3 linked regions of the Saccharomyces cerevisiae S288C genome follow. Changing the gene in region 1 together with any one later gene gives a genetic interaction. Each region holds a gene or a part of one and is shown on either strand. Other genes may lie near its edges.

Evidence for each region.
Region 2: mutations in ASN1 (region 1) and PUS2 together harm fitness more than expected from each alone (negative genetic interaction), as found in Saccharomyces cerevisiae (one large-scale study listed by BioGRID).
Region 3: mutations in ASN1 (region 1) and RTN2 together harm fitness more than expected from each alone (negative genetic interaction), as found in Saccharomyces cerevisiae (one large-scale study listed by BioGRID).

The regions. Positions count from the first base shown.
Region 1 is NC_001148.4:820,549-824,847, forward strand, and holds ASN1 (asparagine synthase (glutamine-hydrolyzing) 1), read left to right. Parts: upstream 1-2,071; coding exon 2,072-3,790; downstream 3,791-4,299. Other genes in the region: ribosome biosynthesis protein NOC4, read right to left, coding at 1-875; YPR145C-A (uncharacterized protein), read right to left, coding at 4,142-4,299.
Region 2 is NC_001139.9:381,733-385,312, forward strand, and holds PUS2 (pseudouridine synthase PUS2), read left to right. Parts: upstream 1-1,921; coding exon 1,922-3,034; downstream 3,035-3,580. Other genes in the region: MRH4 (ATP-dependent RNA helicase), read right to left, coding at 1-1,476; PYC1 (pyruvate carboxylase 1), read left to right, coding at 3,464-3,580. UniProt on the Saccharomyces cerevisiae protein: Mitochondrial-specific pseudouridine synthase catalyzing the formation of pseudouridine at positions 27 and 28 in the anticodon stem and loop of mitochondrial transfer RNAs.
Region 3 is NC_001136.10:92,732-96,397, forward strand, and holds RTN2 (Rtn2p), read left to right. Parts: upstream 1-1,873; coding exon 1,874-3,055; downstream 3,056-3,666. Other genes in the region: HEM3 (hydroxymethylbilane synthase), read right to left, coding at 31-1,014; YDL204W-A (uncharacterized protein), read left to right, coding at 1,402-1,554; ACK1 (Ack1p), read right to left, coding at 3,351-3,666.

The sequences.
Region 1 (4,299 bases):
GGAGTGTGGAAATGAGGTATTATTCTCTTATGCAAAATTAACAGAATAGACTTATACTGCTGTAAAGACAATTGGCCGTTTAAAAGGGATAACCAATTTTTCTCGAAATTGGACTTGAATTTGGACTCGTTCTCTATGGCTTGTGGGGGATTTGGTACAAAGATCTCTAAATCTGCATCAACACTAGAGCAATGTTTGTCATGATTTACTAAAGCTAACCATTTACCAACGTTTTTCAAAAGCAAGTCCTGGTAGGCTGGATCCTCTAATAGTTGGTTAAATTCTGATTGAAAGTAGTATTGAATATCTGCAAATTTCGTATAATATTTTTCCGTGAATTCTACTATGATTAAATTTTCAGACGCACCCGAGCTTTTGACATCCTCTATTTCACCCATGTTCGAGGACCATAGGGCGATGATTAACTTTCTGAATGTTTTATTGGGGAAAAATGGTGCGCCCTTTTCAGATGCAAAATGAGTTGATTCCAGCTCTGCAAGTTGAAGATAGACATCAAGCGAATCTAACCCAAGTGATGTTTCGAAAGGTATGTCCGAAATGATAGCTAACAGCTTCGTCTTGAACGCTTCATACACCTTTCTACACCAATTAACAAACTGTTCCTTCTCTAATGTGCTCTTTTTGGACGAAGGAAGGGTCAAGTCGCCGCGGGAAAACAGCTTTCTAAATATCTGGAATAGCGACATAACCAGAAATCTCAAATTTTTTTCTGTCTCATCTTCTTCCAATTGAGTAACATTTTCTGGAATCACTAGTTCATTGATTAACTTGATAATGGAGTTGTACTGCTTTCTGTCACCCGCAGCAGTCAGCCTCTTGGCAATATCTTTAATTTCTGATATAAGCAATACCATATTCTTTGACGTTTCTTTTTAATAGATCTCTCTTCATGGCAATAGAGGATGATAATTACATCTCATCTCATCTCATCAAAACCGTAATACACTTTTTTTTTTCTCAGTTGGAAAATTTTAGTGAAAAATTTCAAGAATAGCCCTAAACCTTCAAATACGAGGATTACCCGTAGAGAAGTGCTGAAAAACTTTTTTCTTTTTCTTTTTTTTCGATTTTCATTTAACAGGTATAAAAAGCGAAACACTCGGTACATATATTTTACCAAGACGCGTTAGATTTTCTTTGGAGGTTTCATTTAAAGAAACCAATGACCTTCCAAGTTTTTAAAAGAATACGATGATATTATTTGCGTTTCAAATCGAACAATTCTTCTCGGAGCGATCTGAGGTTTTAATGGAGATAGCGGTTCCTGCGCAACCCATTGATCTTGTTACATTCTTAAGAATGACAAGGACGCTTTTATAAAATTCTGATTCTTTTTTCTTTCATTCTTTTGTTGTTTTTGACTTGGGAGTAGTCATCTCATCTGTACACAAGTAGCTTTTTATATGTTCTTAAATTGTAGACTAGTCAAAACTTGTGTCCTTTAAACCGTGCCGAAACAGTTTTAAAGCGGACATCCAGGGAAACTTGCCGTTAACAATAAGTGACCTTGCATGGAAGACTGTCGATTGGTCTCTGTGGAAACCAGTGCATATCTAAATTAAATCTATTGTCATCACGAATGCCGCCCGTGTTCGTGCAACGTGAGCGCAAATACGCCTGGGGTCTGTCTTTCTGCGCTGGAAAGCACCTTCGGGCATCAACTACCGTTTCTTATCGCTGGCACTATCTATCCACCAATCACACGGCAGCAGTACTGCTGCCGTGGACGGCAAATTAGGTACAGGGCCTATGACTGTTATCATTTGGCAGGCTCAGACAGAGAGAGAGAGCACAAGGAAAAGAGCCTTAACTCATGTAACATTTGACTCATTCTGTAAACTGAAAATTTGCTGCCCACTCGAGATGACAAATAGTTCGTTCTTGAATTTATGCGCATTTATAGATACGCATATATAACCCTATAGTGAACGCCACTAGGAGACAGATTCTGTTTGGACCCTGATCGCATACTCTTCTTACCTTTACATAATAAAATAAGAAAAAGTATAACTTGCTTTACGCTAAGGATATAAATCGGACGTAACTTAAGATGTGTGGTATTTTCGCCGCTTTCAGGCACGAAGACGTGCATAGATATAAGCCAAAGGCTCTACAACTATCAAAAAGAATCAGACACCGTGGTCCAGATTGGTCCGGTAATGCTATCAAGAACTCCACTATATTTGTTCATGAAAGACTAGCCATTGTCGGTGTGGAATCCGGTGCTCAACCAATTACTTCTTCAGACGGAGAGTACATGCTATGTGTTAACGGTGAAATCTACAACCACATTCAATTAAGAGAAGAATGCGCAGACTACGAGTTTGGAACACTGAGTGACTGTGAGCCTATCATCCCAATGTACTTAAAGCACGATATCGACGCTCCTAAGTACTTGGATGGTATGTTTGCTTGGACTCTTTACGACGCTAAACAAGATCGTATTGTGGCAGCCAGAGACCCAATCGGTATTACGACATTATATATGGGACGCTCTTCCGCTTCTCCAAAGACCGTTTATTTTGCATCCGAACTAAAATGTTTGACTGACGACTGTGACACTATCACTGCATTCCCACCGGGCCACGTATACGATTCTAAGACTGACAAGATCACCCGTTACTTCACACCAGATTGGCTGGACGAAAAACGCATTCCTTCCACCCCAATAGATTACATGGCAATTAGACACTCCTTAGAAAAAGCCGTTAGAAAGAGATTAATGGCCGAAGTCCCATACGGTGTTCTATTGTCGGGTGGTTTGGACTCCTCTTTAATCGCTTCCATTGCTGCCCGTGAAACTGCAAAGGCCACTAACGATGTCGAACCATCAACTTACGATAGTAAGGCAAGACATCTAGCAGGTATCGACGATGACGGTAAGCTACACACTGCTGGTTGGACAAGTCTCCATTCCTTTGCCATCGGTTTACCAAATGCTCCAGATTTGCAAGCCGCAAGAAAGGTTGCCAAATTCATCGGCTCTATTCATCATGAACACACCTTTACATTACAAGAAGGTTTGGATGCTTTGGACGACGTGATCTACCATTTGGAAACTTACGACGTTACCACTATCAGAGCTTCCACTCCAATGTTCTTACTATCCAGAAAGATTAAGGCCCAAGGGGTCAAGATGGTTCTTTCCGGTGAAGGTTCCGATGAAATCTTCGGTGGTTATCTATATTTCGCACAAGCTCCTTCTGCGGCAGAATTTCACACTGAATCCGTGCAACGTGTCAAGAACTTGCATTTGGCAGATTGTTTGAGAGCTAACAAGTCTACGATGGCTTGGGGTCTAGAAGCTCGTGTTCCATTCTTAGACAGAGAATTTTTGCAATTGTGTATGAACATCGATCCAAATGAAAAGATGATTAAACCAAAGGAAGGACGTATTGAAAAGTACATTCTAAGGAAGGCATTCGACACCACAGGAGAACCAGATGCTAAGCCATATTTACCAGAAGAAATTTTATGGAGACAAAAAGAACAATTTTCCGACGGTGTTGGTTACTCCTGGATCGACGGATTAAAAGATACCGCCGAAGCAGTCATTTCAGATGAAATGTTTGCCAGTCCAAAGGCCGAATGGGGTAGTGACATTCCAACCACAAAAGAGGCTTTCTGGTACAGACTAAAATTCGATGCTTTGTTCCCTCAAAAGACCGTGGCTGACACCGTTATGAGATGGATTCCAAAGGCCGACTGGGGTTGTGCTGAAGATCCTTCTGGTAGATATGCCCAAATTCATGAAAAACATATCGAATAAATAACATTAAAAAATAGAAAAAGAATTATGGATTAATCTTATAGATATTTTTATAGAAAAACAAACACTAACAATAATAATAATAATAAATAGAATATAGAAATACATATTTTTCATAATAGTTTGATGAAGTTTTATTCATAAATCATTTTTTATCGCCAGTGCTAAAAAATTAAGTGTGTGGATGACTGTATATATGCGTATCGAACGATCTTGATGCAAATCATTTTGAAACATTATTCTTGACTTTGATATTTCCTATTATACATCCTCCTTCCTTGAGACCCAATAATCTTAAAAATGATGGAGACAGTGCATGCCCTCCTTTTCACCCTTCTTTTATGTCGTTTCTTACAATTTTCGAGATTCTTTTGAATCTGATCTCCTTTTACCTTGTGACTGAAGATTCCTAATCGAATTGCTCCTCTCTAGCGACGCCCTTTGTTTCATTTCGTGTGCAATTAGTAGATCGTGCCTTGTTATTACTGTATTCTTATTTCTTGATTTAA
Region 2 (3,580 bases), on another chromosome or scaffold:
GGTGGTTACGAGTACATGCAAAGACTTGTTACTGGGTGCGGTACCATTAGAATTTGTGTTTTTCAATTTGCCGATGACGATGTTGGAATCAGGAATTTCAAATTTCTTCAAGGAAGTGGGAGGTGAAGTACTCTGAGCAACCACCTCCGAAAGTGGTCGCGGTGGTGATAAAAAGGGCATAATTTTCTCGGATCTTTCTTCAAATGTATCTTCACCAGTTAAACCGATGGCATTATGACCGAATTTCTTATTCAATAGGTTAACAATTTCAGGAACATTCTTTTTTTCGTTAACAAAGATAATGCATCTTTTCTCGAACCCTGGTTCCGTGTCATCATTTGAAATAGCATATAAAGTTTGTGCCAATGCTTTGATCTTGGATCCCTTGAAAGGACTTAAGGCAGAATTTATAACTTTAAAGTCCAAAGCGAATGGTAACTTATGCAGTCTGGGTGTCATTATAGGAACCACTGTAGGAAATAGTCTTTGCATTGTTTTATTAAACTCTTGAGGAATAGTAGCGGAACAGAAAATAAGGTGATTAATGTTAGGAATTCTCTTTATTGCGGAGTGCGTTTCTTCAAGCCATGACCTATCTAGAAGTGTGTCAGCTTCATCTAGTACTACGAAACCCACTTTGGACAAGACTTTATCAGGTCTAGTTATCATTCTTATGGAGAACAGGTTCAGTAGTTTTCCCGGAGTAGTGACTAAAATATCTATTCTATTTTTAATGTTCTCTAATAAATCACGATATGATGTGGCCTTGTCCCACTTGAAAGAGTTTAAGCCTAACAAGGTTTTCGTCTTGGAAACAGTTTCGTATACTTGGTCAACCAATTCATGCGTAGGCACCAGTATGATGGACCGAATCAGAACGTTTTTTCTTAATGTTTCCCATAATTCGGGAGTTTCCAACTCCTGTCTTTTCAAATAGTCTATTAAAGGTATCAAGTAGGCCATGGTCTTACCTGAACCTGTCTCAGCGGCAATCGCATGTATTTGTAACTTTGGATCCATTAAATTTTTGGATATTCTCTTAATGGCCACTGTTTGAATGGGACTCGGTATTATATTTTCACTGGTTTTTTTCCTACTATCTTGTAGCTTCAGGGACTCTTTGGAAATGATTTCTTTCACAGCGTCTCTGACAGGTGGAAGTATAAGCAATTGGTCGAAATTCGATATTTTTTGAATGAGTTTATTCGTACTGTCCATATTCATCTCGACGTCTTTTTTCAATCCACCATACTCTCCAAAGTTGAATGCTTGGTCAGGGTCATTCTTTTTGTTACCTTTTTTGCCTTTGGCCTTCTGTTTTCGGTTTTTATTACTACTGCCTGTAGGCACTGAAGCTAATGGAGAGTTTCCTTTATGCTTTGTTCTTGGGCCTCCCGCATAAGAACGCACTCCTATCTTGAGAAGCACGGGGAAAGACCACTGTGGTGAAATTACTGGCTTGAAAAAAAGCGACATTTGTCTTATTATACTTTAATCTGATCTGAAGAAGTATTTCTACTCATCACTAATATCTATTCCGCTATTATTATAGTTGTAATTTATGATTCCGTGGTAAGTGATTTGAACTTTTGCTTCCTTTCGAAAATTTCAAGAATATGGTTTGGTTGTGCTGTGCAAGAGCGGTTGTATTGCGAAATAGAACCCATCGAGAAAAGAAAATGAAAAAGACGGCATTAAAGACTAGCTCTGTTTTAAGACAAATATTTACAGGCCAGAGAATAAAGAGATACTCGTATGTATGAATTGTAGCCCCTTACACACATATGTATATATATCGATGTGAACATAGCATTTATTAACAGTTCTGCTCAGTACAAATGGTAGTAGTACTAGTGATGAGGTTACTCCGACACCGTTAACAGCGGTAGTAAAGAGAAGGCCGAGTAAACATAAGGTCGTTATGCTCTTAGGTTACTGTGGCAGCGGATACTATGGAATGCAATACAACCCACCACACAAGACGATTGAAGGTGAGATTCTCACCAAGCTCTTCGACGTAGGAGCCATTTCCGAAGAAAATTCATTGGCACCGAAGAAAAATTCCTTTATGGCAGCGGCAAGAACAGACAAGGGTGTACACGCTATGTTGAATCTACTGTCGCTAAAGATCACATTGCGAGAGGACACAGTAGCGAAGTTAAACGCCGCACTACCGCCCGAAATACGCGTGTGGGGTATCCAGCCTGTCAATAAAAAGTTTAATGCTAGATCCGCGTGCGATTCTCGATGGTACCAATACCTTATCCCAGAATTTATACTCATTGGTCCACCCCGGAGTTCTCTTTTGCATCGAAACGTGGGGGGATGCTACCGCGAAGACGGCTCGCAAGAGGTGTGGGATACGTTCCTGGAACAGACGCGTGGGAGATTTAGCGGGGATGAGCTGTGCCGTTTGCAGGACACTGCACAGAAACTAAGCGAGAGCGATCCTTTGGTACAAGACTACGTGGGGCTATTGAGCGGTACCCTTAGCGGCTACTGCTTGTCGCCCTCGAAGCTGGACGCGTTTGAGGCAGCCATGCAGGAGTACGTGGGAACGCATAATTTTCACAACTTTACCACAGGAAAGCTTTGGGGGGATCCTAGTGCTCAGCGCCATATCAAAAAGGTTGTAGTGTCGCAGGCCTCACCGGGATGGATATGTGTGCGGATCCACGGGCAGTCGTTTATGTTGCATCAGATTCGACGAATGGTAGCGCTTGCCGTACTTGCAGCCCGTTGCCAATTGCCGCCTAATATTGTACGTAACTATTTTAACGCCGGGCCTAGGAAATACATTCCGAGGGCGCCCGCACAAGGCCTATTATTAGAGGGACCTGTGTTTGACGGGTATAACACTAAGTTGCGCAATTTGCTGTATTGCGAAATCCGCCCGGACGATATCACTCTTGAGCGCATGTGCCGTTTCCGAGAACGCCAGATCTGTACTGCGATCGCACACGAGGAGACACAGCGTCACGTGTTTTGCCATTTTGTACGACAAATGAACCGCCTGGCCACGCCTCTAATCTAGCCGCCCAATGTCGCGGGTTGACCCGCGACATTGGGCGGGCAATACTCTCATCTTATTGGCTATTCAACTTAGACAAGCGCCAGTTGCGCGCACAAATTTGGTCATGACCGCTCCACCGGCATGCGTGTCGTCATCCCGCATCATTCGGGACATTTTGGCCTTTTCCGCAGTGCGTAGTTGACGTGGGGAGAAAGCTAGTGGGCTGTCGCATATGGTTGGTTTTAGGTGGCGAAAGTTTCGCCGCGATAGCAATCATGTCCTCGACCTTAATCTCAATGGAATGGGTCATGCTCGGTAAGTGAGTCTCGCTGTATATAAGTATATATGTAATCGCCTAGTTCGATAGATACAAGGAGGTCTTGAGTATGTAGATAAACGAAAAGAAGATAACAAAAGGAAAATCTCAGCCTCTCCCCTTCCTCTTAGACAATGTCGCAAAGAAAATTCGCCGGCTTGAGAGATAACTTCAATCTCTTGGGTGAAAAGAACAAAATATTGGTGGCTAATAGAGGAGAAATTCCAATCAGAATTTTTCGTACCGCTCAT
Region 3 (3,666 bases), on another chromosome or scaffold:
GAGTTTTTGGACTGATCAAATTAATGGTGTTCATTTGATTCTGTCTAAATTAATTTCATCCAGAATTTTCTTTGCGCCATCGGCAATCATTCTTTCAGCTAGTATCTTACCACACGCCATGGAATCTTCTTTAACATTTTCTATTAGCATTTCAATTTCGTCTTCTACTGCTTCTGTGCCTTCAACGTCAACTACAATGGCCTTTAATAGTAATTTTTTAGTCTCTTCATTGTATTTAGATTCCACACCAATAGGAACGGAACAACCCCCCTCTAAAGTTCTCATCAAAGCACGCTCCGAAAGGCAACATATAGTTGCATTTAGATCGCAAATTTCGTCAAGAATCTTCATCATCTTGGTGTCACCCTTTCTAATTTCTATACCCAGGGCGCCTTGTCCAACTGCATGGTACATTGTATCCGAATGGAATCGCTGCGTAATTCTGTTTTCCAACCCCATACGCATCAACCCAGCAGACGCCAAGATGATGCATTGGTACGGAGATTTTGGGTCGTCTAGTTTTTGTAATCTAGTTTGTATATTTCCTCTGACACTTTCAAATTTCAAATGTGGGTATTTTCTTTTTAGCTGAGCAGATCTTCTCACGGATGAGGTTCCCACAATCCCCCCGTCTGGAAGGTCATCCAGAGACTTATAAGCAGAGTAAAAGGGCATGACAAGACAATCTGTTGGATCGACCCGCTTAGTGATACCCCCCAGCTCGAAACCCTCTGGTAGTAAAGTGGGCATGTCCTTCAGAGAATGAACGATCAAGTCAAGCTTCTTTGAGGGATCGTCATGGTAAAGATGGTCTTCCAACTCCTTTGTCCATAAAGCTTTACCGCCAAATGAGTACAAAGGTTTGAATTGAATCTGGTCACCAAGAGTTTGCAAAGTGAAAACCTTGCAGTCGTAGTCCGGATACTTTTCTTCGATCAGTTTTAAAACATGGTTGGATTGTATTACCGCCAATTTCGATTTTCTCCCACCAATATGTAGAGTTTCAGGGCCCATAGTACGTGTGTATTTACCAACTACAAATTTATCTAGATTTTCTTCGCTTTTCTTTTTTTCTATTGTTCTAGATATTAATACGGGATGAGAAGAACAGAATATTCAAAATCTAATACAGCCCTGTACCATGCAAACACGAGCGTCAATCTGCCAATGACCTTGAATTCAGGCTATGTGTAGCAATAATACAGATAGTTAGTAGCCTCGTTTATATAAAGCGTTCCTTTACTTTTTCATTTTCTTTCTTTTTTTATGTTTGATTTTTTTACTTTTTCACTTTAAAAAATTGCTGAAATTTTCGTAGCCAAAAAAAAGACCTTCATTGCTTACTCATCGGTTTCTTATTGGTCAGACGCTCCCCAGGGTCAATTGACAAGGAGAGAAGGAATGTTATATGGGAATTGCTGCGTAAAGATGGTCAAAAATCCTGGACTGCCGTACGAACGACAATGTAAGGATGACTGCATTAGCCAGAAAGACATCTTTACCCCCGGTGCTGCCAGGGAGCAAAATAATTACGAAAAGTGGACGCAAAGTTAACTTAAACTACAAGGGTAGCAGCAGAATGTGTCGGTGGTACCGGTGTGATAATGCCCCATTTGAGATGCTTGTAATTGTGGCCTAGCAATAAGAACGCAAGGCGTTTTTGTTGAAAGGAGAACAAGGTTAGACGGTGACGTTTAGGCGCATAGGCAATCTCCCCTTATTGTTCACCCTTATTTCCACCCTCAAACGATAAAGCTTGCTACTTTGATGAAAAAAATATATAAAAGGGATTGAAAAGCAGATCAATTATGTAGCAATAGTAGTAATAACTTGTTCAATTGCTTGTCTCAACTTGCCACAAACTATCATCAACATGAATAGGAATACGACTACCAATAAGAACGCGAATTTGAATAACAGTAGAAATGCTAACGCTCCCGGTGAAGCAGGTCATCAGAACAAGACGGGATTGATATACTGGACTAACCCTAGCAAGTCGGGTGCGAGCTTTGCTGCGACTCTGGTGAGTTTGCTGATCCTCAGAAATGTCAATGTTATTTCTGTTTTACTTAAGATCGGATACATGGTGTTGTTCACGAGTTTTGCGGTGGAGCTTTCTACAAAGGTGCTATTTGATAAAGGAGTAGTGTCTAGGTTTGGCATGCAAGAGTCTCCGGACCTTGTTGGCGTCTTAAAGCCTCATATCGACCGCGAATTGGATCGTCTGCCTGCGTTAGAGGACAGAATCAGAAAGTTAGTGTTTGCACACAGAACAAGAAACAATTTTACCATTGGTGTTTCCCTCTATTTCTTGCACGGCCTATTTGCTATATTCTCTATGAACACTGTTTTGATAATGACCACCATCTTTTTGTACACTGTGCCTTTAATCTACGATAGAAAGCAGGCTAGAATTGACCGTGCTATCGACAGGATGAAGGATCTAGTTATTCATAGGTTTCACAAAAATTACAACAAGGTGGTTGAAAAGACTGAACCATACATTGACAAGATTATCCCACCCCAAACCGATGAAGGCAGCTACTCAACCTCTATCAGTAACGAAAACAAATCTTCTACTTCTCAACGTAACAAGAGCGGCCTTTCCTCTTCTGAGTTTGACAACATGAACGACACGTCAGCCTCCAAAAGTGGCAAAGACAGCTATTCTACCTCTCAATATAACCGAGCCGAATATCCAGTTTCTCAGAATGAGAATATTGGCACCTTAAAATCTGGGAAGCAGGAAATACCAACAGAGAAGGATTTCAACAACAGGCATGAAAACTTCAGTAAACCAGATGTCAAGACATATGATCCAAGAACAGTTGATATTGAAGAAGAATTAGCAGCTCATCAGCGTGAACTGGAGCAAAACCTAAAAGATGGTGATTACAATCTGGTAGGAAGCAAGGAAATCCCAGATCCAATCACCGTTCCAGCTCCAACTAGACACACCACTAAACCCGCCGAAAGCCAATCGATTCCCATCAAGAATAATGAAACCTTACACAAAACCACGCACGGCCTAAAGCAAAAATTGCAACACGCATAATCTAGTTTTTTTTTTTTTCTCTCTTCTTTCTAGCTAGTAGTTCATTTCCTTTTCTTTTTTTCAAAGAGGTCATATTTATCACCAACTATATATTTTTTTGAAGAAAAGATATCATTACAACGATAAGTAGTTACAATATTTTTTTTATTTAGTTTAAAATAATGAGTAAATGACGTCGCATTTCTTCGCTTTTGTTATTTTTATTCTCCTCTCATTTTTGAGGAGAATGTTACAATATTTTACTAATGTCCTGAATAATATTTGATTTATGGCATAATAAAGAAATGCGAATTCGTTAATTTGTCAAACTTCGAAGAGCATCAACTGCCTTCCTGAATCCCATTCTTGCAGCCCTCTGATAATATTGTTTGGCCAGATCCAAATCAACTTCACAACCGACACCTTTTTCGTAATAAAATCCTAAGGCAAATTCAGTGCGGGCTAATTTACCGTCTGAACACTTGCTGCTCTTCAAGGCCCAGTTGAATGCCTCTTTATTGTTTGGTTTCAAAATATTTGGTGCTCCCGTTAAGTACCATCCACTTAAGGATAACATTGCCATCGGATTCCCCTTCGGCTGAGCAGCAGCAGCTTTGGAATACCAATATATG